Linked DNA regions of Struthio camelus. The protein of the gene in region 2 interacts with the protein of the main gene of each other region in a pairwise test. Links are inferred from orthologs where the notes say so. Each region holds a gene or a part of one and is shown on either strand. Other genes may lie near its edges. The genes, in order: GOLPH3L, HTT, ZFYVE19 and UBE2K.

Region 1 (7,032 bases), on a different chromosome or scaffold from region 2:
AACCAGGCAGAAATACACATTAACCGAACCAGGAATGCTCAGTGTTGTCCAGGAAGAAAGCAGACCATGCCATGCTCCCAAAGCACTCTCTAATATTTGCTCCAAAGTTATTTGTGTGATGTTCCTGTTACAGCCTTGCTCTTCTGTTACTTCCTATTCAGCTTGGTGAGTCCTAGATCTTATCTAGGCTTGTTCAACAGGGCAGCTACAAGCCTCTGTCACTTATGCAACCACACCACAGCTTTAACAGCTACAACGTCTCCTTTCCTCAGGGCAGGAAGATGGACTCACACAAAGCACTCGAAGTGGAGCTGAAAAAAACAGCATTTAAGGCTCTCCTCGGCCATCGTCATTCCAAGAAATACCCTGGGCAACTGGTTAGCTTCTTTGCCTCAATTTCCCCATCAGTTTGATAGGAATAAAAGTATCACTTTCCCCCAAAGAGATCAAGAAGACGCATGCATTAAAGAAGGTGAAGCACGTAGACGCAACAACAGATAAGTGCTCCACGGCTCAGAGCCAAGTGATTGGAGAATTCAGTACAAGATACTGTCTTTTCCTGTCCCAACGGCTCATTCCAGGCAGACTTGAGCAACGAGTTGCTACCAGCTGATAAGCACAAAACAGATCAGTTTGCTCACATGCACGTTCCAGCAGAGACCATCCTCTCTCTGAAAACAACCATCTGGGAAGTTCACACACTGCTGCCCAGGAAAGCTGTAAAACTGGCACACATCAGGCAAGGCAAGTGCCTCTTTTCCCCGAAGCCTGGAGCTGCAAGATGCCATTCTTCCCTGGCTAAGGACATGGACACTCTGAAAACAGAGACACCGCTCCGACCTCCCTTATCGTTTCCATATTCAAACTTATTCTGCACCTGCTTTAAACTCCTGGTCCAGCTGCACTCTCTCGTCTTGTCTCTTCTCTCAAAACTTGCCCCGGCTGTTTCTGGTATCAATTTTTAGAAAAGTGTAAACAGTGCTCAAAAGACCTTCGTGTTTCACCTGCTGGTTTCAGATAGGAAAGCTTATCTACGTTTGGGAAGAGGACATTTACCATCTGACACAAAGCGTGGCTTCTTTTACCGTAAGTCTTTGGCCATGGCAAAGAATAAACACGTCTCTGCTCTGCAAATGGCAGTAACGTAATACTATATTGCACCTCTCATCTCCAGCTGTCCCTGCGGCAGAGCTGATGGGACAGCACTTGCAAGGTCCTCATCAACTGCTTCTGTATACAGCTCCACAGCTAGGTTTCAGCTGCAGATGATGGTGGCTTGAGCTTAGTAGGCCGACCTTGTACTGAAGTGGATGCAGAGGAACTCGCACAATCCCTTCCACTGCATATTGAGAACCTCCTTTCCAGATATGCCAAGACAGCACTTCCACTACTACACGTGCAATAGCGCCAGTGAAAAATGCCTTACTTCCTTGTCCTTCAGTCCCAGAAGCAGCACCTCTTCCATGAGGGTGAGGCGGATATCTTTGGAGTCATTGGCGTCTTCATCTTTCAGGTCTCTGTCCGCAGCCGCGTCTTCCTCGCTGTCGGGCTTCTTGTCCGAGTTCTTTCCTCGTCCTCGATGCGTTAGCGTTGTCATCTTCGCCTCCAACTAGGAGCACAGGAAGGTAAAGGCTGCGCCACGTCTAAACACGATGGGCTACAACAGCGCGAAGCCCTAAGACCTGAAACCCAGACTCCAGGGACGGATGCCCAAGGTTGAGGGAACCCTCCCCTTTTTCCCCCGGGAATTTTCAGCTCACCCCTCCCAGGATGGCTGTACAAGAGTCACCGTTAGGGAGTGGTTGCCTGTAACTTAGCGACACGTTTGAAGAGAGGACTGCACCTTCAGAGAGGGAACAAGGAACTTGAGTCACGACAAAATCTTTTGACCAAGGGGACTTCCTGGCCACGCACACGTAATGGAGAAGGGGTTAAGGCTCAGGCTCTCCCACCCAGTCCTGGATGCTGGATACCCAGCAGAGCCCCAGGGCAACGACAAAGGAGCACCTTCATCTAGGCTGTTCTCCCTTTTATTTTCCCTTCTCTACAACTTAGCTGCTCACAGCTGATATTTATCTGTTTAAGGAGCTTAATGAGCTGCCCCTTTTGGTTTCAAACTCCCAGGGTGCTAACCCAAAACCTTCCACAAACACCCTAAATCCCCAGCCTCTGCCCTATCCTCAACCCGACCCTCGGTCCCCAATCACCCTCTCTCGCAGGAGCAGCAGAGTCTCGTTAAAAAGCCACTGTAAGCCAGGAAAGGGGCTGAGATTTAAGCGCTACAAGGGCAGCGGGGATGGGGGGGGGGGAAGGAATATTTCCTGCAGCCTTTTTCCACACGCCGGGAACAGATTAAGAAGCCGGAAAGACACATCCACCTCCTCTCTCCCTGCAGCACAAGCCCCCACGCAGCAATAATTAGATTTGACAACTTTCCCCCCCCCCCCACCGAAACGCGCAAACTGCGAGGCCGACACGGGCCAGCAGCCTCCCTCCTCCTCCTTTCCCCGGCGGAGTTTCGGGCCCCTGAGAAACGCAACCCGGAATAACAAATCGCCCGGTTCAGCCAGCCTTACCCGTGCTCGGCGGGTCCCCCCCCTTTTCCCCGAGGCTCCTGCGAGCAAACTTTGGAGCCGGGGAAGAGAAAAAGCTTCCTGGGTGAGCCGAGGCAGGGGAGGGAGCAGCCTGGCGGCTTCCTGGGTGCCCGGTAAGCCAGCCCGGTGCGCAGCGCCGGCAAATGGGAGCCTCCAAGGCGAGGAGCCTCCAATGAGCGCGGCCAGCGGGCCGAGGCAGCGCGGGAGGCAGAGGGTGGGATTTCTCCTCCTCCTCCTCCTCCTCCTCTCCGGGAGGAAGGCACCGGGGTGTGGAGCAGCGCTGCAGGGCTCTGGCCCCGGGGCTTGGGGCAAGGGTTGCCTGTCCCCCTTGGGCTGGCAGCGCTCGGTCCCCGCTTCCCCGTGCCGCCTTGCTGGGCAGAGGGTGCTGGAGCAGCCGGTGCCTTGTGCAAATCGTGCAACGTGTTTTTTCACACGCACCTGGGTGAGGGCAAGGCTGCGGTGTTGGTCAGGCAGGGCTTGGTGGGAGGCTTCCGCCCGCAGAAAGCAGCTTGAGGCAGGGAAAAGGGGAGCCCTTGGCTGTAAAAGTGAATAAATACGTTCATAAATAGTTGCAAAGGAAATCTTGTTAAATCAGACTGCAAAACTGGCAAAGCCTGAGGCTACGCAATGACAGCGTTTGATAATTAAATCCCAGCCATCCGGTTCAGTGCAACGAACTGGAGAGAAATGAGCTGCTGCAAATCTACGAATCCCTCTCCAAACTGCCACTGAAGCCCACACCCGAGGACAGGCAGGGCTCTGGCTTTAAGGTAACCTTCTTGCCAGTGCAGCTAGTTTTCACTATGAAAACATCCTTTCAACTAGTCTCCTCCTCTGCCCTCTGGGATAACTCAAGGGAAGGGAGCCTTCCTCGAGAGGAGAGCATTGCCACCAGTTGAGACGAAAGGATTAAAATATTACAAGGCTGCACAAGGAGACTCTGCATTTCCAAGGCAGTCTGATGGTTCTCCAGAAGGCACTTCTGGACAGCTTTGAGGGAAAAGGGATAACACCTGAACATTGTGCCAGCTTAGCTCCTTTAATATCCAATCCCTTGGCCAAAAACACACACAAAAATGCAGCGTTGGAGCGAGCGGGGAGCCCGGATCTGGGACACAGGGTAACAGAGCAGTCTGAAAAGCCCACCAGGCAGAAGGAAGATCTGCAGCTACGGGATGGACACAGACCAGAAGACATTCACCACCTCCGTGTTCTTCACTGAATTTGTTCCCTGCCTACTCTGACCCACTGCCCACAGCCCTCCACTCCCATCAAAGCTGTGTGGTCCCCATCCAGCCTGGTTCAAACAAAATGAAGTGGCTGTACCCTATTAAGCTAGAATTCCAAAATATTACCAGCATTTCATTAAAACTCAAAAAACGTACTCCAATCAGAGTGGTCAAGAAACATGCAAACTGTTAGATAACATTCTTTTAATTGAGGAATAGGATAAAAAGATGTTAATCAAAAAAAGAGAAATGTTCAGCTATTCATATCCAGTTTAAACACAGCAGTAGCCCTTAGCCATGCATAAACAGCTTCACTCCAATTCACTCACAGTACACAAAAAGTAACAATTAATTGTTTAGGAAGAATAAAAATGGCACCCTTTGACTCCTGCAATTAATCATTTCACATACATATAGGTTTGTTTTTCAAGTTTTTCCATCTTACACTAATATAATAGATGCCTGCCACAGATTAGCACTTTGCTTGTAATTACACACAGATCACATCACAGCTCTATGCAAATCCTGCATTTTGGTGTGAAATATGAAGATATGAATAATGCTTTTTATCTCGAGTCTGGTGCCTTGAGTCTGGAGGAAATACATGGAATCAGGCCACCTAAACCTCCAGTAGTTCTGCTTACTATGTAGTAAAAAGAAAATCTGTAATATTGCTGTAACTGACAACACAGTTCTCCTGAACCTGCTTGATAAAGCTCCAGAAATTAACCCGAGAGCTCAGTTTTTAACGCCCTGTTGGGTAGGTTCCGAACAAGGAGTTCCCGAGTTTTAAATACAGCCCAGATAAAGCGATCAGCGAAATATCCTCGTGTTTCAGTTAATGGGCACACACACAGTGTTAGCAGAGAATCAAATCCCCCCAAATCATCTTTGTTATGGATGTTTTTTTCAGAGATTGCATCATTAGCTAAGTACCTTCTATCTTTCCAGATGGCAATACACATTTCTATAAAAAAAAAAACTTACAATTTCTTCAACTGGGCTTGACAGATTTTTTTTTTCCCTTAGATATAAAATACACTACATTTCGACTACAAATCAAACAGGAAAGATCCCCAAATGGTATTTAAATATTAACATTCATATTAAACAACGAATCGAAGCAATATTGAGGTGAATTCTGTGAACAGCAGGGAGATGGATGTCTAAAACTGCTCCTTTGGTTCACTAATTTTTCTCCTTTTTGGTAGCACATCTTGACTAGAGAAGAGTTCAAATTGATGAACCTGCCAAGGAAAAATACTGCATTACTGGTTGCTGTGCTGCACAAACTATGGCCTGCTCCACTGCATTAGCAAGCGTAACATGGAAATCACCGAGTAAGACTCGGCGGTGTGATGTGTCAGAAGCTGTGCATTGAGCATCCAGTCCGTGCCATTATCTGGTACATGCCCAAAGGGGTTAAGCCTGGAATAATATCTGGATACTATTTTCTCGAAGAATTTCCCACCGAAATTACTATAGAACAGCTTAGATGTATTTATGTTGTAAGGGCAGGAACTCCCACGTGTAACGCTTCAGCAGAATGTACCAAGTTTACCTCTCAGGACTGTTCCCCAGACCAGATCTGCCCTCCGTATAGGCAAGAAACCCGAAAGTCCAACTCCAGGAGCTGCTGTGAGGCACACAGTGGCTCAAGATAACGGTAGAGCAGCTCCAGGTGACACAGGGAAGGCTCTGTGTGACACCGGAGAGCCCCATATTGACAGGAAAGGGCAATCTGCACCACATAGGCCTGCTGGTTTTATCAAATTATTTCTGACTTGGACATGTAGGAAACGACCAGAATTTAGCCTTCAGTCCTGTTGTGCTTCTGCTTATTTAAAACAACGCATTTTAAAAAATTCTATTAAGTTCATATTGACAAATGAGCATACAGAAAATAATGCTCTTTTTTACAGTAGTGACTAACAAACCTCAAAAATACTGCTTATGAACCTGAGGTTGGAAGTAAAAAAGGGTCACTCTAATAGTGATAAGCAGTATTTTTTGAAAATGACCAAAATCTTCCGAATTTTATGTCTCCGCTTTGTGAATTTGTGGCAAACTTAGATAGCTCTTTTTGCATGCTGCTTTCACACTTTATGGCCCAGACCAGTTTCTCTTCTGGATTTCTTTAGAACATTTTGCCGAGGAACGGATTTTGCAATGTTCCCAAGCTTGATTTTCATCAACCTTTCTGGAAATAAAGCAACTATTAGTTTAGAAGACGACTACTGGCAACTATTGAGTAGCACATTATAAATCCTTATGCAACTACTGTTCCGTAACCTGCATTAAAAATTAATGAAGAGCTTTCCTGAGTGGCGACAGGAAGGGTATGATTTTCCTTAGCCATGACATGTAATTTCCTCTCCTGATTGTAAATGATGAAGAGCCTTTATTTACAAGAACGGTAGTATTCACCCCATTGCTTTTTCTGAGAAAAGCATACCAATAACTCTCAATGTTCACAAATAAGAGGTACATAGAGGTATAGCAAAGTGACTATACATGTACTGTGGCAAGTTCCGCACAGAGCAGAGGCTACAATTCCAGGTTTATACAGACTAGAGGCTCCCCTTAGCCTTAAAACGCTAAAGCTACCAAGGTCAGTGGGTAATGGCAGCAGCCACAGACAGATGAGTACCCAATACCCTCTCCTAAGGCCAAGCTCCATCCTAAAGACAACTTCTATTCCACCTGTACAAGACTCAAGGAATCTGGCTCCCCACAGTAGCACAGACTAAATAAGTCTGCTGCAATGTGAATAACCAAAGAAATAATGGATTTTTCTTGGTATGAATGAGTCACACATCTGAGGTTAGAATTATGGCTCTGTGTTTTCCAAGTAAAATCACTAGTGATCATATGGTACGCTGGGCTGGGATCTCTACTGGCACACACACATATCAACAATGGATTAAACCAGCAGGGAATTTGGCTAAATGCATTCTTGAGAAAATAAGTCAATCCTAATGAATCTTTCTCAACCTGTGTAACTACTGTAATGCTCAGCTTTTAATTTTTTGGAACAGACTTTTTTTTTTGACACTAGGAATCCAAATGTTTTGATGCTAATAGGAATTTTCTAAGTGATGAGAATCTTTCTTTCAACATGTATTCTATTAAAACTTGAGAATTTTTTTCTCTTTGGAACAGAAAAAGGCTTAGAAAGAGCAGAAAACAGAAATAGAAAACTGATACTA
Region 2 (7,221 bases):
CTTTAAATTTGTCCCTTTTGTCTCCATGCAGTGAGTATGACCTAACTCCTTGTGCAATTTACTAACTCTAGTACATGGACAGGGAATAAATACATTAAATCTGCAAAGCAATGTGACAATCCAACAGCCTGACTGCTTTGTTCTCCTGGTACAAAATAGGGTAAAATTTATGGAATTCCTATGGAGTTACTTGTATGAGATCGATCATTCTTGTCTGTGGTTTGTTTCCAAGTATTTTTGTGTGTAAGTCTTAGCGTTTGCTTATTCATACCTCATGAATATATATATTTAGCTCAAAATTCAGAAACTGTGAAACAATATAACAGTATCAGTTTATTTTTGAATGTTGTGACTGACCAATAGAATTAAATCTTCATGCCTCAGGGTTGCTTTCTTTCTATAAAAACGTAAGTTTTGCAGAGGTAGTGTTCATAATAAAGATGGCATCATGTTTTTGTATTATAACAACATCAAAACAGCCCCTATTTAAAAAAAAAAAAAAAAAAAGAGCACTTAAAAATAATTACTGTACAATAGAAATAGGAAAACCTGTGGTATCTCAGAAACAAGGAGATAGCTATTGTCAAACCTTAATCTTTAATAAAAAATGCTATATCTTTTTAAAATCGTTTTTAAAACAATAGATCTGAAGGCAAAAATGAATTTTTAGAATACTCTTCAATTATTTTTCAAATAATATAGATGGAAGGTATTTCTCACTGTCGTTTATAAATTCCAAAATATTGTTTACAAGTTACTGAAAATAAGTCAACAGAAGTAGTAGTATTTCACTATTGTTTACAATTTAGTATTATAATAATTTATCACCTCTATTCTCATGTTGACTTCCAGAAAATACTTCTCTCTAAGTACTCACAAGTTGGAATTAATTTAAAACTTTAATGGAGAACATCTTCAAGATAAATTTATGTGCTTTTTGGTGGTTTTCTAGGTTTTTGTTTTTTGAATGACCTGTGTTTGGTGGTAATGATGTCTCTTCTGTATGTATGTATGTGTGTTTTTTTTTTTTTTTTGTAATTGTCCATATGGTGTAACTTAATTTAAGTTTTGCATGTGACACAGGTAATTTCTCACATGTTCTACATGTGTCCAGAACACCAGAGTTCTTTCCAAGTATAACTATTTTGATGGCTAAATGTGATACGTTGGTTCCAGTATTTCCAAACCACTGAATTGTTCTTGTATGAGCTGTTTTCCTGGAGGTTCTAGCGTTTGTTGTTCCGAAATAAAAGCAAAACACTGCCGCATGTCTAAATCACATGTATTATTGTCTAATGTGATTTATTCACCATGTCTCTCTTGGCAACTGAGGTAGATAATGGAAAAATTATATATATGTATATATATTTTTTTAACTCACAATTTGTTGAAATAGAAAATGTGTATTATATGTTGTAATTTCTTTACCAATGTAAGACTGTCAGATCCAGCAGAGAGTACCCTAGCTCTGTTGTATTTGCTCAGTTGATACCTGAATTATTAGTCCGATTTCTAGTTTTTGCATACATATTGGTGTGGAAATGGAGAATTATGGTGATTGTCTATTTTTGTTAATATATTTATTGTGCTAACGTTATGAATGTGAGTGCAAGACTGATCAGGAGTAGCTGTGCTTGTGATTAGTCTTGCAGATACTGAATTGTCCATAATGAAAGGAAAGAACCTAGACATCGCTCCTTGAGAGAATTTATGGCGAGTCACTAGTCAGACTTTTTTTTGAATGCTTTTCAACAATAAGCTGCTTGTATATCTAAATTTTCGAAACCTTGTTGTTTTTATGCAATGGCTTTCCCTGTGATTTTGTAACTTTTGAATTGAAGAAATAAGCACTCAATTGCTATACAAAACAGCATGTGTTTAAGTGACTTTAATGGTAGTATAACTCTGCTATGGCATATAGCAAAATACCTGAGCATATGTTCCAACTACATGAGTTGTATAGTCTCATGAAGTCTATTGGACGATTTATCCTAGTAGTGCCAAGTACCTGCTTGTGTTTGTGGAGCAACAGAAATGTAGAAATGCAGAGTCAAGACTGACTTTAGGAGAAGCATTTGTACTGAGATGAGGCCAAAAATATTCTTGACGTGCTCGTCTAACCTGTTCTTGAACGCGCTGAAGAAGTAGCCTTCAGTAGTTAAAAGTATTTCGCAAGCCTATGCTTGGGAAGCCTTTCCACATTCGTGACCTAGATGGTCTTCCTTTTAGGTAGGGTAAAAGCGTTGTTTCTTCTGTTTTCCTTCTGGAGGTGGAGACAGGTTTATCATCATTTACTAAGTTAACACTTTGTGTGTTGGTTGTTACTCCATTGAGAATGTGATTTTTTTTTTTTTTTTTTCTTCATGGTAATGATGGCTTACAAAACTTGCCGCTCTCTAACCCAGCTTGCTTGTTTCTGCCCCTTGCCAGTTTTACGTGCCTTTATTTTTTTAGCCCCATCTGTTTTGTGACCAGTGACGTGATCCATGTTTTTGCCTGTATCTGTCAATTTGAATTGGGAGAACCTATTACTATCACACTTGCCAAAGAAAAAGCCCAAGCCAAGATATCCCTGGGTGCTTTTCTTCCAGTTATCCCAACTCGTGTGTAACAAACGCCAAGACAGTCTGGGAAGACAAGAGCAAAGAGTAGTGCTGCTTTAGAGGCGTGTGTTGCCTTAGCATATCTGCCCGTGAGTCAGCAGCCCTTAGGGGACTGGTGCATGTTTTAATCTAAAGCTTCAAAGCAATTGTGCAAAGCCTGACTTCATAGGTGGCTTGTTCAGTCTTTGATAAGAGCTTATGCTCTTTTTAAACATGCTTAAACTTATTTCAAAGTTTGGAGTGGTACATGCAATTATGGGGTAGTGAATGCAGCCTTCCACTCGTCTTTTTTTTTTTTTTCATGTATCGTTTGCTGAATAAAAAATTAATGATCATCCATATGTTCTGGAGAAAACTCTGCAAGTTTAAAAGTTCTCAATTTGAAAGCGTACATATGTTTTGTCACACATTTATAATGAAATTGGGGCTTTGTTATAGTTCAGATTGCTTTCAGTACTGTAGAGATACCCTTTGAAACGTTCCTCAAAGTCAATCTTATTAACACACTAATAGAAGTGTCAGAGAAATGTTTTATGGACTAATTGGCAACAACCATATCACTTGTTCTCTGTAAGGCTGTTTATGGCTTTTCCAGCGTTTACATCAAGGCTAGAATATGAGTTGTATAGGGGTAGGAAACTTGTGCCCGTGGGCCGAAGTTCAAATTCTGCTCCATCACAGAGATGGACATAGGGAACACCGCGGGTTTTTTTTTTTTTTTTGCGATTTATTTTTTTCCCCCTTTGCAGGCACGTTGTTTTAACTTCAGAACAGGAGCGGCTCTCTCACCACTTCAGTGCGTATAAAATGTATCAAAACGTCCTCAGAAGGGGCAAAGCAGGAAGCCTGAGAGGAGTGCTGGAAGCCGTAGGTTGGTAAGGATTAAATATCTTGCTCCCGTAACCGTTTCCTCTTCTCCACAGACACCTCAGGCCCGGAGCAGGCTAAAATAAAAACGGAAAAGCTGCTACCGTTGGGCAGGCTTGCCGGAGGGGTAAGGGGCACAGCCGCCATGCGCCCACTTGCAGCGGGGCGGGGGCCGGTACCTCAGCGCGGGGGCAGCCGCCCCTCCCCCAGCAGGGGGCGCGGCGCCGGCCGCGCTCGACGAGGGGCGGGGCCGGCGGGGGCGCGTGATCGCCGTTGGTCCGCGCCACTTGCTGGCGTCTGCCTCAGCCGCTCTGCTGTGACCTTTGGGAAGCGGCGGAGTTATCTTCTTTTTGATTGGTCAGCGAGGTTGTCGCTCTCCCTGTTGCCCCGCCCCTCAGCTCGCCCGCGTGCCTGGGTGTGCATGTACCTACGTTAGGGGTGTGCACGTGACTCAGGGCTCGGCTGGGAGGGGGGAGGTTGCGCATGCGCGCTGGGCGCGGCGTTGCCCGTGGTTGGAACCGGGCCGCGGAGCGGGCGGAGCAGCGCAGGGAGGGGGCGGGGCAGCGGCGTGGGGGATGACGGGACGGATTGAAGATGGCGGCGGGGCAGCAGGGGAGTGCTCGCGGCCCCCTGCGGCGTCTCCCTCATTCATTGCGGCCGTGACGGGCGGCTCGGCGCAGCGACCGCCACCGGCGCGGCCTGCGGCGGCGGCGCCTCGGCTGGCTTGAGCGCGCCGGGCGAGCCGCGGGGGAAGGCGGGGCAGAGCCGGGCCCGCGAGGAGGAAGGCGGGCGCCTGCGAGAGGGCGGAGAGGCGCGTCGGGCCGGTGCCGCGACCGGCGCGGGCGGAGCGGAGCGGACTGGACATGGCCACCATGGAGAAGCTGATGAAAGCCTTCGAGTCGCTGCGCTCCTTCCAGCAGCAGCAAGGGCCGGCTGCTATCCCCGAGGAGCCGCTCCAGAGACCGTGAGTGACCGGGCACGGGGAGGGCTCCCTTCCCCTTCTCTTACCCGCGCCCCGCAGGCTCCTGAAACATTTCGGTGACATTCTCCCCTGGGGAAGGAGAAGTCTTATCTTATGTCTTCCCCAACCTCCTTCTCCTCCTCCCTGGGCTGCTGCCGCTCGGGAGCTGCTGACGGTCTGAGCGACAGCTGGTAGCCGGGCGCTGCCCCGGAGGAGTTACCCTCGGGGCGCTTTCCTCTCCTTGCGGGAGGCTGTACTTGTGGACGTGGCTAGGAGCGCTGCCTGGCGCTAGTTTTTTGTTTGTGAATTTTAAAAGTAGCGGTAACTTTCTGGGTAAATGCATTTGACCATACAGGGGTTCGGACAGTGGACAAGAGAGAGAGCGATGCTGTATCGCTTTCATGGGCTGCTTCTAGAAAGCAAAATGTTATTTTCAGCTAACACACTGTTGAAAAACAGCAGAAAATGAGCATGACTTAAAGTCTAAGCTCTGAATACATTTGGGGTAGTTGACGTGAATGTCTATTTATGACAAACTTCATTTGAAATCTTGTCCTGTGACTGATTTGCTGTGGTGATTACCAAGAAGAATTAATTTAAACGTTTCTGATGTCCTTTTGCTTTCTGAAAACATTAGGGGCAAACACATTGAAGAGGCATCTTTTTGCATCCGTGTGATGTTCTGGTGTCCCATCCTAGTGCTTTATTGGAGGACAAAGGCACGAAGCTGTTCAGTACCAGAGTGCTGCCCGCTACATTAGCGTTCTCTAAAAATAAACTTTATTGAACAGGTGAAAAAGCACTGAGATTTTTACTAGATAAATACGTGAGTCACATTATTGTTTTTGCTCCAGATATCAGTGAAAGAGGAGAAGCAGAAGGGCTGAGGAGCAGGTAAGTTCTAAATTGGCAGTTTGAGTGTTTTGGCAGACGATGATAAGCAGTGGAGCTGGGCTCTTAGCCACCTGCTCCCACAGTACACTCTGATATGTTTGCCAACTAAATTATCATGGTTCATACTGTTTGGAGAGTGTTGTCTCAAACAATCTCAGTGCGTTTTCACACTTTCAGGGCATAACGGATGAAAAAGTTGGCTCATCCCTCCTTTGTGAGCCAGTTCTTTTTAGATGTCTTTCTGTTTCGCAGGGACTTATTGCTCTATGAGGTGCTTTTTTTTTTTGTGTGTGTGCTAGTACTTCATGTGACATGGTAGGTGGACATCTATTTCCAATCTTTCTTATATGGAGTGGGGAAAAAAAATCTATCTAAAAAGTTATCGGTAAGATAGATCATGTTCTTAAAGAAAGGCTTGTTAATTATTTGTGATGCTCAGTGAGGGGATGTGATGCTCAGTGAGGGGATGTAATGCTTCTGGTTTGAGGTTCTGAATTTAGGCCTGGTATACTCAAACCATTAAAAACCAAGGTTTGTAATTGTTCTTGCTGACTATGCTTTGTGTTTAAAAATAGACTGCATATTTTCAGAAAGCTGATAGTGTTGCATGCCTCCAGGAACTATACAAATTCAGTAATAGCACTAAGCCTCACCAAAGCCTGTGAAAGGACCTTGTGGCAGTCTTTGCTGAAGAAGTTTCCCAAACTTCTGGTTAAATACCAGGTGACATCTTGAATGTAATTCACACTTCTGTCTGTGTTTTGTGGTAATGGACTTGAAAGGAAAAATGACAATGCGTTTTCCTTACCTTCCTGGGAGAAATGATTGTCTTAATTGTGGTTGTGTATAAGTCGCACTTAAATCTTTTGTTGTTCTGTATGGTAACTTCCTATCTCTTATCCGTGTACTGCTGTAAAAAGGAGTGTCACTCTCTCAGTCGATAATGAGAGAACAAATGAATTGGTGAATGTCATAGGCAAAGTGCTAATAGTTTACTCTTCAATTGTTTCGTTAAATAGACATTTAACGCTGTCTGTTAGATTGGAGTTGCCTTGTTGCCTAAACTAGATGACAGGCTGACATTCCTTCAGTTGAAGAGTAATCTCATTATTACAGAATTTATTAGACAGTATTGCTATGTGGTACACGTAAGTGGGCAGAGGTTTTTTTGTTGTTTTTGTTTTTAAGTTCAAACAGTAAAATGGATTGCAGTTAAAAAGATGTCTAGGAAGTGCAGGCTTGAAATTTTATGTTTTCAAGTGCTTAAGAAGCTGCAATTAAAAAGATGCAAACACGAAGAGGATGGAAAGAGCTTGCGGGAATGTAAACTTGAGGACAGCCTATTGTTAAATAGGGAGTATTTCAATGAAAATCCATGTGAAAGAGATGCTTGGGATGTATACCCTCTATTGCAGTAGCAATGTCTTTTGGCTACCATGAAAGTAAGATCGCTGCTGATCTCTACTCTTTTTCTTATTTCAAAATAAGCTACCTTAAATTTTAACAACATAATATTACCTCTACAAGATTAAAAACAAACAAACAAAACCTCCACACAAAACACTTTCCTATTAGAATAGGCAAAAACTACCTTTGAAAAATATTGCTGGTAAAAACTGAGCATTCTGTATCTGGTTAGTGAATGAGTCCTGCTAAGGGCTCTTTGACTGATGCTATGAAATGTTATAACATCACAGAGAAACTGGAGTACAGTAAAACATAATTGTTTGCACCAATGTTTTGAAGTTTTTTTTTTTCATTTTATTCTTGTAAGATAAATGACTTTTGTGGTCTTGATAAAACGAATATCCTAGCTTTATTATTAAAATAGTAATTGAATTCAAGCTTTTGTCAGGGAGGTAAGAGCTTTTTCTATTTTGAGAGGTTTTAATCTGC
Region 3 (7,147 bases), on a different chromosome or scaffold from region 2:
TGAACATAACTAGGTGGCTGTTCAGGAGTCTACTCAAAAGCAAAAACAAAAAAACAAAACAAAAGAAAACAAACAACCCCTTCCACACATCAAACCAAACCCACCCTCAAACAACAAAACAGAAGCTCCAACCTTAATCTAATTCTGAACAAGCAAATACCCACGTTGCAAAACCCACTTTCGATGATTCCTGTAAGGGGAAGAGGAGAGAGGGCCTGAAAGGTTACCTTGTGGCAGAAGCCAATGGGTTGTTTGGCAAGTGCAACTCACTTTTTGTAGTTCTCCGGTGGTGACCATTTTGCTGAACTGCTTTGAGATCCTTCTCTGGAAGGCAAAAATAATGCTCTCTCCAAACTCAAGGTCTTGGCAGTGCTTCAGTCATCCATTCTTTTAAACCAAAAGGAATTACCATACGTGTTTATCAAACTCTTGGTATAGTCCTTTCATAACCTCACTAATATGGAGAGTGATCAGTTTAGGAAAGGTAGTAGCTGCCTAGGACAGCATGGGACCTCATTTTTAGTCCTTTGTTTCATGTCTGAATAAAATTTATTTAATATAGTCATCAGCGTTCCAAAAGAAAAGAGGCTGAAGTACCCTTGCCCCCCCCACCCCCCCCAGCCTGCATCTCCCAGTTCAGAAAGCAGATAGAGAACAGTTAGCTAAGACTCCCAGTGTATTTAGCTCCAATATAGTGGAACACTCTGAAAGGAGTTATGCCATGCGACAAACACAGAATTATATAGCGCACAACCCTAACTCTAAATGAAACGTTATAAACAGAGTTATATAACCAGCAGTATCATAATGACATCTAGCATACCTGAACACTGCATACCACAAACACATCTTGTGTAACTCTGTGTTCTGACTCACTGTGTTCAGGTTAAGCAGCTAAACTTCACACTTATGTCAGGTGGTTAGTACATTCTATTCATTCCTAGAAGTTACAGCTACAAATATATCTGCACTGTGCTAGGGGCTGTATAATTACAAACGAAGGCAGTGTTTTTGCTGGACTGCTTTCCTACCAAACGTTTTCAGTTCTGAAAGCTGTTTCGCATGAAGAACATCCATGCAATCTGTGTGACTTATCTATCTGCTGTCCAGTAGGGGGATAATTTTGTCTTCTGTAACTCTACAGTACTGACATTAAACAGATATGAAAAATCAAAAGAAATATGAGGAAAGGCTGACTTCTTTTCTGAATATCTTTGGACATGTAAAGGGAAATCAGAAGTTTTCCAAAAGGAAAGACTGTGAGTATTGTATTTTCACCACTGATAACCTCGCACTACTTCAAAAGCGCTGGCTCCTGAATATAAAGACCTCTGATAACATAAGGTTCTTTCTCTTTAGACAACTGCAGAACAAGAATATTCCCCACTTGCTGGTGAAAATTCCTTGCTATATGAGAATGAATGGGGAGGAGAAGTAAGAGAAATACAAGAGAAGGGACAGAACACAGAATTGGTAGAGAGAGGTTCTGGCATAAGTTGTGCTCTTGCGTTACCTGTGTATGCGTACAACACAAGCTGCTGCTGAATTACATTTTTTGTTTTCAACAGCCTCCCTACATGTTATGTTTGTGAAAATATTATTTTTTTCTTTTAAAAGAAAATCGATTTTACACTACAAAATTTAGGTCTTCAGGCTACATGCAACAGAGACCTCTCAATAATAAGGAGCTGTGTCACTGTTTGCCTACAGAAGTAACACTTTGCACATCTTGTTGCCAGGTTGTTCTATTGCTACACAGCTGAAAAGACTGCTAGGGTTATCAAAAGGGTGTACCTTTCTAGGCACAAATACTGTGGGGCTTAGCTGGGTCCCATGTGGCAAGGATACCCACAGGCATCCAGGGTCTATCCATGACAATTTAAAATTGGCTCTTTCAGACTACACTGTCACCATGGAGAACAACCTCACACACACTGACTTACATGTTCTGACTGAATAGCCCATGAAGAGCAGTTCAGTAAGGGCCTAGCTTGAAACTCGAGGGCACAGGCAGTGTGTGCAGGCAAGTGCACAGCCTGACTCTCACAGAGACTCTCACAAAATGAGGGACCAAAGCAGGACACTGTCTTTGGGTGAAGAAAGACTCCCACCTTACCCAGTTAGTTTTCCATGACATTGCTTGCACACTTTCTGCGGAGTGTTTCCACAGCGGGGAACAACAGCACTGAAGCTAAGGCAGCCAGAGCAGAATGCCCGTCCGCAGTTCTTACATCCACACTGAGGAGATACAAGAGAGAGGCAGGACAGGGCTTCATCACCTAGCCACCACACACACCACATTTCTCTGAATGACCATATTCAGGAACAATTGCCTTGCCAAGGTGCACCAGAGATAAAGCTGGAGGTAAACGGATTTTGAGGAGGACTGTATCATTAGCTGCTGCTGCAGATATAACTGATATCAGTCTTCAGCCACCAGAGTGTAATTCCTGTTGGAATCAGAGATGCCAGATCATCCCCCTGCCTAACAAAGTGGGTGGGAGATTCTTTCCTCTGAGATACCCACGGAACATTGGATTAGACAGATGACAAATTCAATCCTTTTTTTTTTTTCTTTTACAGTGGTCTTTATGAAGATACAGTGGCGTTAAGGAGCCACAAGAGCCCAGGAAACAAATAAGGAAAACGACGCTATGCCGCTCCTCAGGCAGCGTGCCTGGACGCTGACCTAAAGCCCTCACGCTGCCGGAGGTGCCCGCGGCACCGCCCGGGCTCTGCCTCGCAGGCGCTCACGCCGCTTCTGGCCTGCTCAGCCGAGTCTCCAGGGAGCACAGGCCGCTCCGGGACCCACTAAGCCAGACTTGCCTCTTTCTTGAAGACCGTGAATTTGGACGCGCAGCCATAGCACCTGTTATCCATGGCGCTGCGGGGCACCCGCCGCCCCCGCTACACCGAGCTCCACAGATTTGCTTTCCCCCTCTGCGGTCCTTGTTTAACTTTCACAGACACGCAGCGCTACCACAGCCCGTCACCACCCACAACCGCGAGACAGAAACACCGCTCCCCCGCCTCCCACAAACCGGCCCCGGCGCGGCGCGCCGCCCGACGGGAGTTGTAGTCCCTCGGCCGCCCCTCCCGCCGCAACCACAGGGCTCTGCTCCATGAACAAACTACATCACCCAGGGTGCGGCACCGCTCCCGCGCGGGGCCTGCTGGGAGCCACCAGCTGCTGCCCAGGCGGCTTCCGGTCCGCTCGCGCGGTGCATTGTGGTGCTTGTAGTCTGGGGGCGGCCGCAGCGCGCCCTTGGGCGGCTGGGGCCGGTGAAGACTCCATTTCCCGGCGGGCAGCGCGCGGGCGGCAGGGGCGGGGAGGGAGGTTGGTCCTCGCGAAGATGGCGGCGCAGGGGGAGGGTGCGGCTGCCTTGTACGCCCGGCGGGGAAGGGGGTCACGGGTGGGCTCTCGGGGCCCGGTGGCACTTCTCCGCGGCGTCCCCTCCTCCCTGGGCGTGGACACGGGGCCGCCCTGCCCCGTGGCAGGACAAATCGCCTCATGAGGCTCCTCGTCCCTGCTGCCGGCGCTGTGCGGGGTGGCTGCCAGGAGCTCGGGGGGCTCGGCCCGCAGGCCGCCGTGGGCTCCCCGTGCTTTCTCTGTGCTCAGTGCCTCTCGCGCTCCGTTTCTGATCGCCGTTGTTCGCGTAGTAACAACAGTTGCTGGCGCTTTTGAAATGGGACTAGCAGGCTAGGGTGTGGGGTGACTCTTAACAGTGCTTCCTTAATTTCTGGATATTGACTGAAGTAATTATTGAAAGCATTGTTTCAGTAGGGCATCGCTGCTGTGTGCACTGATGTGTGGCATGCTCCCATACTGCGTCTGTAGTCGGTAGGGTGTTGCATTGTTGCCTATTAGCTGTTGCTGGCTGTATTTGTTAATGAGACAAACAGTGCATTTTCTGATGTTGACTCAGTTGCACCCAAGATATTTTTTGGTGTGTTAAACCTGTGGGTGAGATCCTGTTTCAGAAGAGTGGGAAATGAGCTGAAATTAACTGAAAAATTCCAGTTAACTCTAGCCAGTATTTCTCCCAGTGTTTGTTTACATACATTGAAAAAGAAATATCCTACAATGTTTGCCAAAAAAAGTTATTAGATGTAGTTTTACGTACCATAGTTTCACATGAGCCACCTAGTTAATTTTGTGGTTTTACAATAAATAACATTTTCCTTTATTTACTCGTCTGTTTAATAGATAAGTCCACAGTGTAAAGTCATGCACAATTAAATTTGGAATTTGACTAATCTGTTCAAGGAAGTAAGACTCGTTAATTATCTGAACAGAGCTAAACTTAAAGGAAAAACTTTGGGTTTTCTCCCTCAAGCTTTTTTTTTTTTTTTTTTCCCCCTCAATACAGTGAAGAGCATTAGAAATTAAAAGAACAATTGCATAAAACTTGGAAGCTAAAATATGGGCCTGTCCAGCAATTGTATCAGATGCCACCTGAAAATTCGAGGTACTACAGGCACAAAACAGAATCAAGCCAAATCTAAAATCACAGGAGTGACTCAAATAAAAAACTTATTTGGCCTTGCCTTTACTGCTGAGCTGGTCAATAAGAAAAGGGGAAGAGAAAATTTCAATTTAGATGTTACAGTGCAATTTACAGACTGACAGGTGTAATTTAGAGTGCCTCTCCTTAATATAAAATACTGGAAGCAACCCAAAGAATCTTTATGTTCAGAGAGCATCACCAAATGAACAAGAGAGAGCAAGGCAGTTAAAGAAATTTAACTTAATTGTTTAGAGAAGCTTCAGAGGGATTTGTCATATGCAACTGACAGTCGTGATCGTGATAGGAGAAGATTTCACTCCCTCTTTGCTGGAGTGTTGCTTATGGAGAAGAGGGAATTACCATGTTTCAAGAGGGAATAGCATCATGTTTCAGCTGCACGTTTACATTTACTTACTACTGACCACCAGGTGGTGCCTGGCTCCCGTTTAGTCTTTGCAGGTTCTTCACCAGAAGACTGCTTGGCAGCCTAACAGCTGCAGGTTTTCTCTCTTTTCTTGCACGCAGATATTTCCTATGATAAAGGGAACTCAGATTATTAAAATCCGGTGTGGTGACTTAGGCTATAAAGTTTTCGTTTGACATATAGGAGAGTTTAAACGGTCTTTGGTTAATATTCCTTCATCTCAACAAAACTCAGTTGTTGCATAGAAAGTTGTACATTCTCTGCCTCGAGTAGTTATGGCTGCACGTGCTTTATTCTTCTGACTTGCTAGAAAACTGTCCCTAAGTGTGTTTGGCTTGGTCTTGATGATCTTGCAGCTCAATTACTATAATGCGATGTACCTAGAAGTAAATCTTACGGCCTTGAAAAGTTCAACTTGATTCAAAAGGTGACTGTATGACTGCTCAGTCTCCCAGGCTGCAATGCTTCTCCTTACAGTTCAGTGTGATAAAAAGGGCAGATGACTGCATTGAAATTGAAAACTGAGTTTCAGTAGCCTTTTACTGTCGTAGTAGGCTTGTTTCCTTCTTCCAAATGAGGAATCAATTGTACTATCAGCGTGCCAAAAGCTGCCTTTATTTTCTGTCAGGCCTGGGGGCTTCTAGTCATTCAAGTGAACGTTGGCTCAACCACACTTATTTACTTATGTAAGAGAAGCGTATTTTAAATTAAGCAAAAAAGACCAATAAGTAGTAATTTTTTTATGTTTCTGTAATGCTCTATTCCAAGTTGCTTTTTTCAGCAGCGGTAATTAGCAAATCTCTGTTCTGACTTTTACAGGTTAAGAAAGCATACCCTAGAAGGCCCTGACTTGCCACTTTGATAAGAACGTGGACAATCCCAAAGCAGGTAAGATTGGACTGCATGGACACAGATGCTCTTCTTGCCTGTCGCATGTGCACAGATTACTGGAGGTGGCTCTGTTCTATCACAGTTTTGTCTTTGCATGCAATTAAGGTAGCACCTGTTTTTGTTTCATGTGGTGTATACATATGTGGGAATAAGATATATTTGTCACTGCTAGGTACCTCTAATTTTTAAGGTTAAATGCTTACATGTTGGTTTTCAAAGATGTTTTAAGTGAATGCTGAACTTTAATTTGAACCTCTCAAAATCCTCCTGTGACGATATTCGAATCCTGGACCTTTGGCCATACTGTCTTTGCTGTCTACTGGCTGTTTGCTCTAAATTCATATATCTCAGAATCTGAATATTAACAGTAGCTTATGAATCATTATTTATGGACAATGCCCATTGTGAGAGGATTATTGTCTATAAAAGACAAATCCCTTTACACTGTTCAGTTGAGTAGACCTGTTAGCAAGGTCTGTGGAGTCTACAGCTTCTCCATTTAAAATTTGGAACTAACTGGGTGAAAATGAGCGGTAGTCTTTACTGAAAGAATGCCATTCATGAAGGTATTTATCAAAATAAATGATGCTCTCTACCTTGCATTTTCCTGTTTGGCAGGCCACAGATTTATAGACAAATAACGTATAATTAAAGCAGAGACTGCCAGCAGGAAACCAGAGATTTGAGCAGAGCTTAGAGGAAAGCTAAAGGTTTTGATTTCTGTAGAGGGCTGGAAGGTGGTTTGGATTGTGTGTGGGAACTCCAGCTAACATGCTTATCCCTTAAGGAAAATGATTAATAAGGACCCCTAACAACTGATGAAAAATGGAATGTTTAGCTCTCAGATTGAAAAGCCCTTGATCTGAAAGAGAAAAATTATTTGTAACTTTATATTTCAGGGTGTCTGCAGATTCAGGAAGGAATGCGTTCCTGTAACAGTACTGTTGAATTCATGTTTTCAAGACAGATAAGATTGGAGTCTTTCGCCAGGTGCATGCCCTTAGAAACTTGCCTTTAGGGTCACATTGCCACATTTTTGACTCCCACTTAACCCCATATTTCTAGGGACAAGTTGCAAGAATATTACTGTATAATATAATCACTGCTTCGCATGTTGTCCATGGTTGCTCCTTTTCCACAAATATGGGTGAGCATCTAAAACGTTGAACCTAGATGGCCTGGTGTGGAGCCCACATCAGGCTATGAGCGGGGAGCCTCAAGTGATACTCATCTGACTTATTACAGCTGATGGCTTTGACTGTATTTAAAAGAGAGACCCAGTTCAAGTTTGCATAAAATAGGAGTTGTCATGGGGGTTATTACT
Region 4 (6,838 bases), about 15 Mb from region 2:
TTTTCACAGTCTCCAAAATGTGCGAAGTGATATGTATATAAAGACAATTTCTGGCACACAGACCTCTCTGTTAAAAATTTGGGATGACAACAAGAGAGATGTAGTGTGTAAGGTAGGTGGGAAAAAAGGGTTAAATTTAAGAACATCTTAGTTTTTTGAATATTTCGGGCTTCTCCTTTGTCACTTTTTTTTTTTAATAAAGCATGTTATAAATGAGCATATTAACATTTAAATGAAAAGTGAATACCATCTACTACTAATACTGCCTGTAAGGTTAATCCTTCTATGGATGGCTCATGAAGATAAAAAACCAATAACAAGAAATATGTAACAGATTCAACCTTTGCTTCTGAAGTGTTTGAAATCACCATACAAATCTCCTGAGACAGCTCTGCTGTCCTAGAAGAAGTCCTCCAGCAACAACGAGAGAAGATCAAACCTGACATTTCTGATTTTTCTAAACTAAAGAGGCCAAGATGAGGGGAAGAAATAGTCTTGTTATGCAAGACACAAAGAAGATACAGCAAAAGAAGGAACAGAACGTTGCATGCTGGAAAGTTACAGTTTCAGAAACGGCACTTTCTTCTTCTGATCAGAGGGAACAAAATAATTCCAAATTCTGAGTAATTCTAACAGAAAAATATCCTACTGATATAAAGAGAATAAAAATAGAAAAATGTGAAAATGATAAAGACATCTCTAAGAATAACCATTTGAAGAACAGAAATTTAATCTTACCTGGTGCTGTCACAAATATTTTGAAGCCCCCCCAGGCAGTGCGCTAGGGTTGGGGGGCGCCCATACTCTCAGTCAGAAGAACCATAAACACAGTGACTTTATTGTATACGCAGCAAGTGAGTCCAACATACCCATGCAATTTGTCCACGTACAATAGCCACTTTCCCATGAAAATGAGGGGGAAAACTATTTCCTACGTACAGGTTGTAGGGCTGAACCATCTAATACAGGAAACAAAACATTGTTTAGGATGTTTGGTTATACCAGCAGAGGTGATGAATATTGTCAGTCCTTTCGTACTGAGGGCCTCAGGTGATGCCTTAAGATCACCGATCTTAGTTTATAGACAACTGACTCTAAACATTCCTCCTGAAATAACTTTATGGAGTCAGAACCTCCATTAATTCACCAACTTTCCTGCACCCCGTTCTAGAAATATTTCAAAGCAATATAGCAAACATACTGAATAAAGTATGGATACCTGGAATTGTGCCTCCCAGTCTATTAGTTATGATCAACACCAACATGCAAAAGTATAGACCGATTTGTGGCCAGTTTGTGAAAGCTGTTATTGAAGGAACTGTTTGCTATGAACCTAAATCGATGATGGGATTAATAGAAGAACTATCTCTTGAAATAAGACATAGTACAGGATTTCATAATACAAAAAATGAGCTATGTTCAAAGGACTAACTTCTGTTTCATATTTTGCATATGGATTTCTCTAAGGGTGGAAGACTAATGAGAACTTAATTCAGAGGTTATACACAGAACAGTATTATCAGCACACTATACAGTATATTATGAAGTCAGACATGCGAAGTCATTGAAATCACAAGAAGAGGCTGAGTATGTTCTCATTTTACTTCTCAGCAGTTTTCTTTCTAAGCATTTTTCTTATCCTACCAAAAAAAATTATTTGGAAACTGCTAGTCTATGGTCCTGTTCTGGCTTAAAATAAGGTAGAGTTTTCTGTAATATAGTAAACTATAAAATATTATAAAAGCTATAATATGACAGCCCCAGCATACTCATTACATCAGGTACTGATTACATGCAGTACTCTAATTGTGGTAGGACTTACCACCACTTCTTTCTACTCTCCAAAAAGCCTTCCTACATTCTCCTTATTTTACCAGAGAGAAAATGAACAGAAAAAGGACAACTAAAACGGAGGGCCAGTGAAGCATATGATGAATATGAAACAATCGTGAAATAAGTGAAAGATGCGTATATAAGGATAAAGGAAATGAGAAGAACATAGTAAGGAAAACAGATACAGGCACTCACATTAATTTGATTTGCTTTTTGCAGTAACAGACTCTGACATCTGTAATCCAAATGAGCACATGGAAATGAACCCAGATACAAACCAGGCAAAATCACTGCCCTTTACTTTACTGGGGCTATTACTGGATGTCTACTACCTATAACATACAAGCACGCTCACAGGAACACAAAGAATGCTGACACTTGATAAAGGTCATGTTTTCGACTCCATTCAGAGCAAGTTCTGCATATTTAGAAGCTCAGCTTCTTACTACCGTGGGCTGTCTGAAAAGATATAAGGCATTTAACTCAGGGATTTTATGTACTGCATTTATAATTTTTGCCTATAGTATGCAACGGGAGCTGAGCATACCATAAACCTAACTTTCAGTTATGAGCTCTCCGAGTCAGATAAGAATTATTATGGCAGATAAGAATTATTACCCTTATGTTACAGGTGGGAACCTAAGGCATAGCGAAGCTATGGCCTACCTCCTCAAAGGAACTTAGGCACGTCAGTGGGACTTAGCTGTCTAAATTATTTTGAAGCTGAAGGCCCAAGATTACACTGGAAGTCATTAAAAAGAAATCAGACTTAATGCAAAATGGTTCTTTTCAGAAAGGTAATAAAAACTGGAAAAACGTTGCGTCAAATGCATATTGTGTCAAAAACAAGCTTTGATACAAAGAAAGAGCTGACTCTATGAGCCAGATGCACATGATACAACACTGTTCCAGGAGAATGGACTTTTCCCAGTCAAATCACAGGGGAATAGTAAATACACAGAGAAAAAATATATATGCATCTGTAAACAGCTGCCAGATTTTTTTTTTAATCAATTGGGCCTATACTTTCTTTAATGTTTATATAACAGTGAAAATGTTGTGTGCATCACTGGAGATAAATGAAGTGTTTGCAGAGGACAGCCACAGCACGAGCAGACAAGTCCCAACCATAAGCCACTACAGTCAGGTTCCCAAGAATCAGAAATGCTCCCTGTTGGGATAAGCGTTTATGCCGTACACAGCCCTACACTGTACTATTAGGGGAGGCCCTGTAAAGCGTTTCTGTAGACCTTGAAGCCTGGAAAGCCTCTAGTTTCCCAAACGAACAACAGTCGTAAACGCAACCTCATACTCCCTTCTGAAAATCTGTCTGCGCTCTCCCATAACATACCACATTTTGCCCTCCTCGGGCAAGCGGGGATGGTTACGGGCACCTATTTCTGTCTTCTGTTATCTGTGCCTTGCAGTGCTTGCTTCTGCAATAAAGCGCAGCAGCCCGTTAGGCGGCCCTGAGCCGCCGCCTCCTCCCCGCCTCCCGACGCCTTGCAGCAGGAGCGGGGCGAGCGGCCTCCCCGCCGCCCGGCCTGGCCCCCTCCGTCCCCGCTGAGGGGCAGCAGCCTCTCGAGGGCGGGATCGCAGCCAGGGGAGACGCAGAGTACTGCCGTTTAACCCCCCCCCAAAAAGGGGGGGAGAGGGAGGGGGGTGAACGGAGTCCCTCGGCTGAGGAAAGCCCCCCCCCCGGCTAGCTCTGCCCAGGCGCTGCGGGAGAGGACGCGTGAGCAGCTCGCAGAGGCCGGCGCTTCCTGCGCGGGGGGCGGCGGCGGGGCCGTGTCACCGCACCGCCGCCACCCAGCTCCGCCGCGGCGCGGGGCCCGCCGGCGGGGGGGCGGCGCAAGGGCTCTGCCGGCCCAGCGCTGCTCCCGCGTTAGCCGCCGCCGCAGGAAACGAGCCCTGCCCGGGTCAGGACGAGCGGCCGGCACCTCCCTGGGGCCGGCGGCGGACGGAGGCGGCAGCCGCCCCGCGGGGACAGCGGGCAGGAAGGGGCTGCGAGGCGGCGGTTGGCGCGGCGCGCACCGTCCTCCCTCGCGCTCTCCCCGGCGGCCGGCGCCCGCCCCCCATCCGCCGCCGGGGAGCCTCGGCGCCCGCACCGCTCCGCTCCGCTCCGCGCACACGGCGGCCCCTCCTGAGCGGCGGCGGCGGCAGCGGCAGAGCCGGGTGCCGCAGCGCGCATGCTCGGCGCGGGCGCCATTTTGGTGGGGCCGGGAGTTATCCAGCGAGAGCGGCGGCGGCGGAGCTCGCTGGGCCCGGCGCGGAGGCAGCGGCGAGTGGGTGCGGGTCGGTGCCCGCTGCGGAGATGGCTAACATCGCGGTGCAGAGGATCAAGCGGGAGTTCAAGGAGGTGCTGAAGAGCGAGGAGGTCAGAGCCTCTCCCCCTCCCCTGGCGCCGCCACCCTCCGCCGTGTGTGCGTGCGCGTATGTATGTATGTATGTATGTATGTGTGTGTGTGTGTGTGTGTGTGTGTGTATGGGAGTGCGGGCAGCGGGGGAAGGTGCGGGCTCCCCGCCGGGCTGCGCCGGGACCCCGCTTCCCCCTCGGCCCCACCTCCCCGCGCTGGGGGTGGGCCCGGCCCGCGGCCTCGGGGAGGGGAATGGCGATTCCCGGGGAGACGGGACCCGCCAGCCGCGGCGGGGGGAGGAGGGGGCCGCCGAGCCCCTCCCCCCGCGGGCAGCGGGAGCCGCCGGAGGCCCGAGGGGGAGCGGGGCCCGGCCTGCCAGCGGCAGGAAGCGCGGCGGCGGCGGCGGGGAGCGAGGGCCGGGGGCCGGGCCGGGCAGCCCCCGGCGGCGGCGGCGGCGGCTCCCTCCGCCCTGGGCGGGCTGTGGGCGGCCGAGGCGGCGGAGCCCGCTGCCAGGCCGGGCGCTGCGGGGTGGGGCCTCCCACGCGCGGCGCTCCCGCGACCCTCGCCCGCGCGGGTGCCGCGGCACGCATCGCCGCACGCGGCCCTGGCGGCCCGGAGGCAGCGAGGTGCATCGGTGAGGCCGAGGTGCAGGATGCGTGGTCACACACATCCCCCTTAACTCACCTCTCTGGTCAGCCAGAGACTGCGGAGTGTGTGTTTTATTTTTTAAAAGGTTGCAGGTAAGTCCCTTTTTATCTAGGTTACTTTAATCCAGAACTTCCTTTATCCCAGTGTAGGTTAACTCACCTTAACGTGGATGGTTTTAAAACCATACTCATTTAATTCTTGTTCTCTCGTTTTCTGGCTTTCTAAATAGTGTCTCTCTGAAGCAGCTCATGTTATCGAGAGGTATGTGGTGGTCAACGAGAGGAGCTGACTACTACCTTGGGCAAAATATTAAAAGAAGTTTTGATCTGTTATTGGGAATATGTAGCAGCTTTTGCAGGGTTGCATCAGTACAATTCTTGCTGTGTCTGGATCTGAGTTGGCGAATGACAACCAGATAGGTTTTAATAGTTGTGTCGTCATTGTCGTCCTACTTGGGATGATGTTGCAGGTTAGATGCCTGTGAAATATTAATGTGAACGTGTAACTCTTAAAGCTAGTGTTTTAGAAATCTGGACACATTCGCAGAAGAAAATCAAGAGGACAGTAATTTTTTGAAGATACTAATACCTCACAGAAAAGATGCCATTGCTGTAGTTGATGCGCTTTTAAATTAAGTGTGCTAACAGCATTGTTGCTATGCAGCTTGAACTAGCCTCTATAAAAACGTAAGGGCCTTGTTTTACAGCTACCTTTGGAGCCCAGGCTGTTTTTGCTAAGCTCTTGCACAGTGATTACACAATTAGGTGTAAACTAAGACAAATTTCTAGGTGGCCATCTTTGTGCCAGAATTAGAGTCCAAAACCAGTACTCCATATAACTTTATACTGTGGGAACAACATTTGTATCTGCATTTGAAGGTACTATCTAAAGGGTTCAAGTCCCTTTCACCTTACTTTATGTAGGAAAAAGAGAAACAACCTATGCAATTCTGTGGTGAGATCCGTCCTGAATTTCCTTACAGTAAAGGTTGGGTCCAGAGAGCACATTTTTCTCCTTTCCTGATTGTTTAGTCTACGCATTGGAGGGGATCAGTATAGAGTGTTGGAAATAAATAATATTATAAAATAGTTCTTAAGCTAGACAACATCTTTCAGATATGATAAGGCCACAATTCTTATGAAACTTTAAAATTATGAAATTTTGAAATTAAAGCATTTTTAAGAGTTTCATGTGTCGTCTTTTTCTGCCATTATCAAGCTACATATGAGTAGAATACTGACATAGCACATATTGTAAACAGCATTTTTGTAGATACTACTATCTCCCCTATCTTGAGTACGTGATTTAGGCATTTATCTGTGGTTCTCTATGTTACAAGCAAGTCTGTTGTGGATGTTTGTACTTTCAAAGCCAGTCAAGCTATGGTGTTAGTACCACTGAGCATAAAAACATGTGGAGTGAGATGGTGAATGGAGGGATAACTAAATACTACAAATTGAAGAAGTCTTTTTTCCTACATGTTTTGTGTAATTAAGCAGTTCTTGACCCTTGTTCTTAAAAATTTTCTGTGTCATGAATAAGTGATGCTAAATTTGTTATATAGAAATTTCAGTCCGTTTCTGAAGGCAAAGTAGCTCACGTTACATGCACTTAGATTATTCTTATTTGAGGCTTTGAACTACAGCTGAACATAAAGAGCAGTGCCAGTTTGTTTCTCTGCAGATCCAATATGGGCAGAAATAGCATTTTTTGGTGCTTGAAAGGAACACATACAGACTTTGCTCTGTGTGTTTTTCCCATATTCATCTGTGGACTGAAACAGGGTGATTTTTGAAAAAGCATTTAAAATCCTTTCAGACTTGAGAAATGGAAGCATTTTTACTCTACTGGCTTTATTATTTCCAGTTTTACTATAAGCTCTCTCACACCTTAACTTAAGGACTCAGCTATTGAGCATTCAATAAAGGTCCTTGTAACTTTGTGTCTCTTAAATATTTGAACTATAAATAGGTGAGACCAGCAGCAATTTCTTTGTCAGG

What was found.
Region 1: the proteins of HTT (region 2) and GOLPH3L interact in binary tests that used the Homo sapiens proteins (3 or more experiments, as listed by UniProt). The link is inferred for Struthio camelus from reciprocal best matches to the Homo sapiens genes HTT and GOLPH3L.
Region 3: the proteins of HTT (region 2) and ZFYVE19 interact in binary tests that used the Homo sapiens proteins (3 or more experiments, as listed by UniProt). The link is inferred for Struthio camelus from reciprocal best matches to the Homo sapiens genes HTT and ZFYVE19.
Region 4: the proteins of HTT (region 2) and UBE2K interact in binary tests that used the Homo sapiens proteins (3 or more experiments, as listed by UniProt). The link is inferred for Struthio camelus from reciprocal best matches to the Homo sapiens genes HTT and UBE2K.

Annotation. Positions count from the first base shown.
Region 1 is NC_090971.1:2,590,915-2,597,946, reverse strand, and holds the start of GOLPH3L (Golgi phosphoprotein 3-like), read right to left. Parts: upstream 3,005-7,032; 5' UTR 2,577-3,004; intron 1,844-2,576; exon of another isoform or gene 1,761-1,843; intron 1,610-1,760; 5' UTR 1,598-1,609; coding exon 1,427-1,597; intron 1-1,426. Other genes in the region: HORMAD1 (HORMA domain-containing protein 1), read right to left, coding at 4,990-5,070. UniProt on the Homo sapiens protein: Phosphatidylinositol-4-phosphate-binding protein that may antagonize the action of GOLPH3 which is required for the process of vesicle budding at the Golgi and anterograde transport to the plasma membrane.
Region 2 is NC_090945.1:76,792,774-76,799,994, reverse strand, and holds the start of HTT (huntingtin), read left to right. Parts: upstream 1-4,205; 5' UTR 4,206-4,333; coding exon 4,334-4,434; intron 4,435-7,221.
Region 3 is NC_090946.1:40,768,462-40,775,608, reverse strand, and holds the start of ZFYVE19 (abscission/NoCut checkpoint regulator), read right to left. Parts: upstream 3,012-7,147; 5' UTR 2,881-3,011; coding exon 2,827-2,880; exon of another isoform or gene 2,584-2,826; intron 2,239-2,583; coding exon 2,117-2,238; intron 2,105-2,116; exon of another isoform or gene 1,546-2,104; coding exon of another isoform or gene 1,360-1,545; intron 325-1,359; coding exon 271-324; intron 1-270. Other genes in the region: PPP1R14D (protein phosphatase 1 regulatory subunit 14D), read left to right, coding at 1,360-1,545. UniProt on the Homo sapiens protein: Key regulator of abscission step in cytokinesis: part of the cytokinesis checkpoint, a process required to delay abscission to prevent both premature resolution of intercellular chromosome bridges and accumulation of DNA damage.
Region 4 is NC_090945.1:61,646,633-61,653,470, reverse strand, and holds the start of UBE2K (ubiquitin-conjugating enzyme E2 K), read left to right. Parts: upstream 1-3,818; 5' UTR 3,819-4,147; coding exon 4,148-4,210; intron 4,211-4,813; exon of another isoform or gene 4,814-4,930; intron 4,931-6,838. UniProt on the Homo sapiens protein: Accepts ubiquitin from the E1 complex and catalyzes its covalent attachment to other proteins. In vitro, in the presence or in the absence of BRCA1-BARD1 E3 ubiquitin-protein ligase complex, catalyzes the synthesis of 'Lys-48'-linked polyubiquitin chains.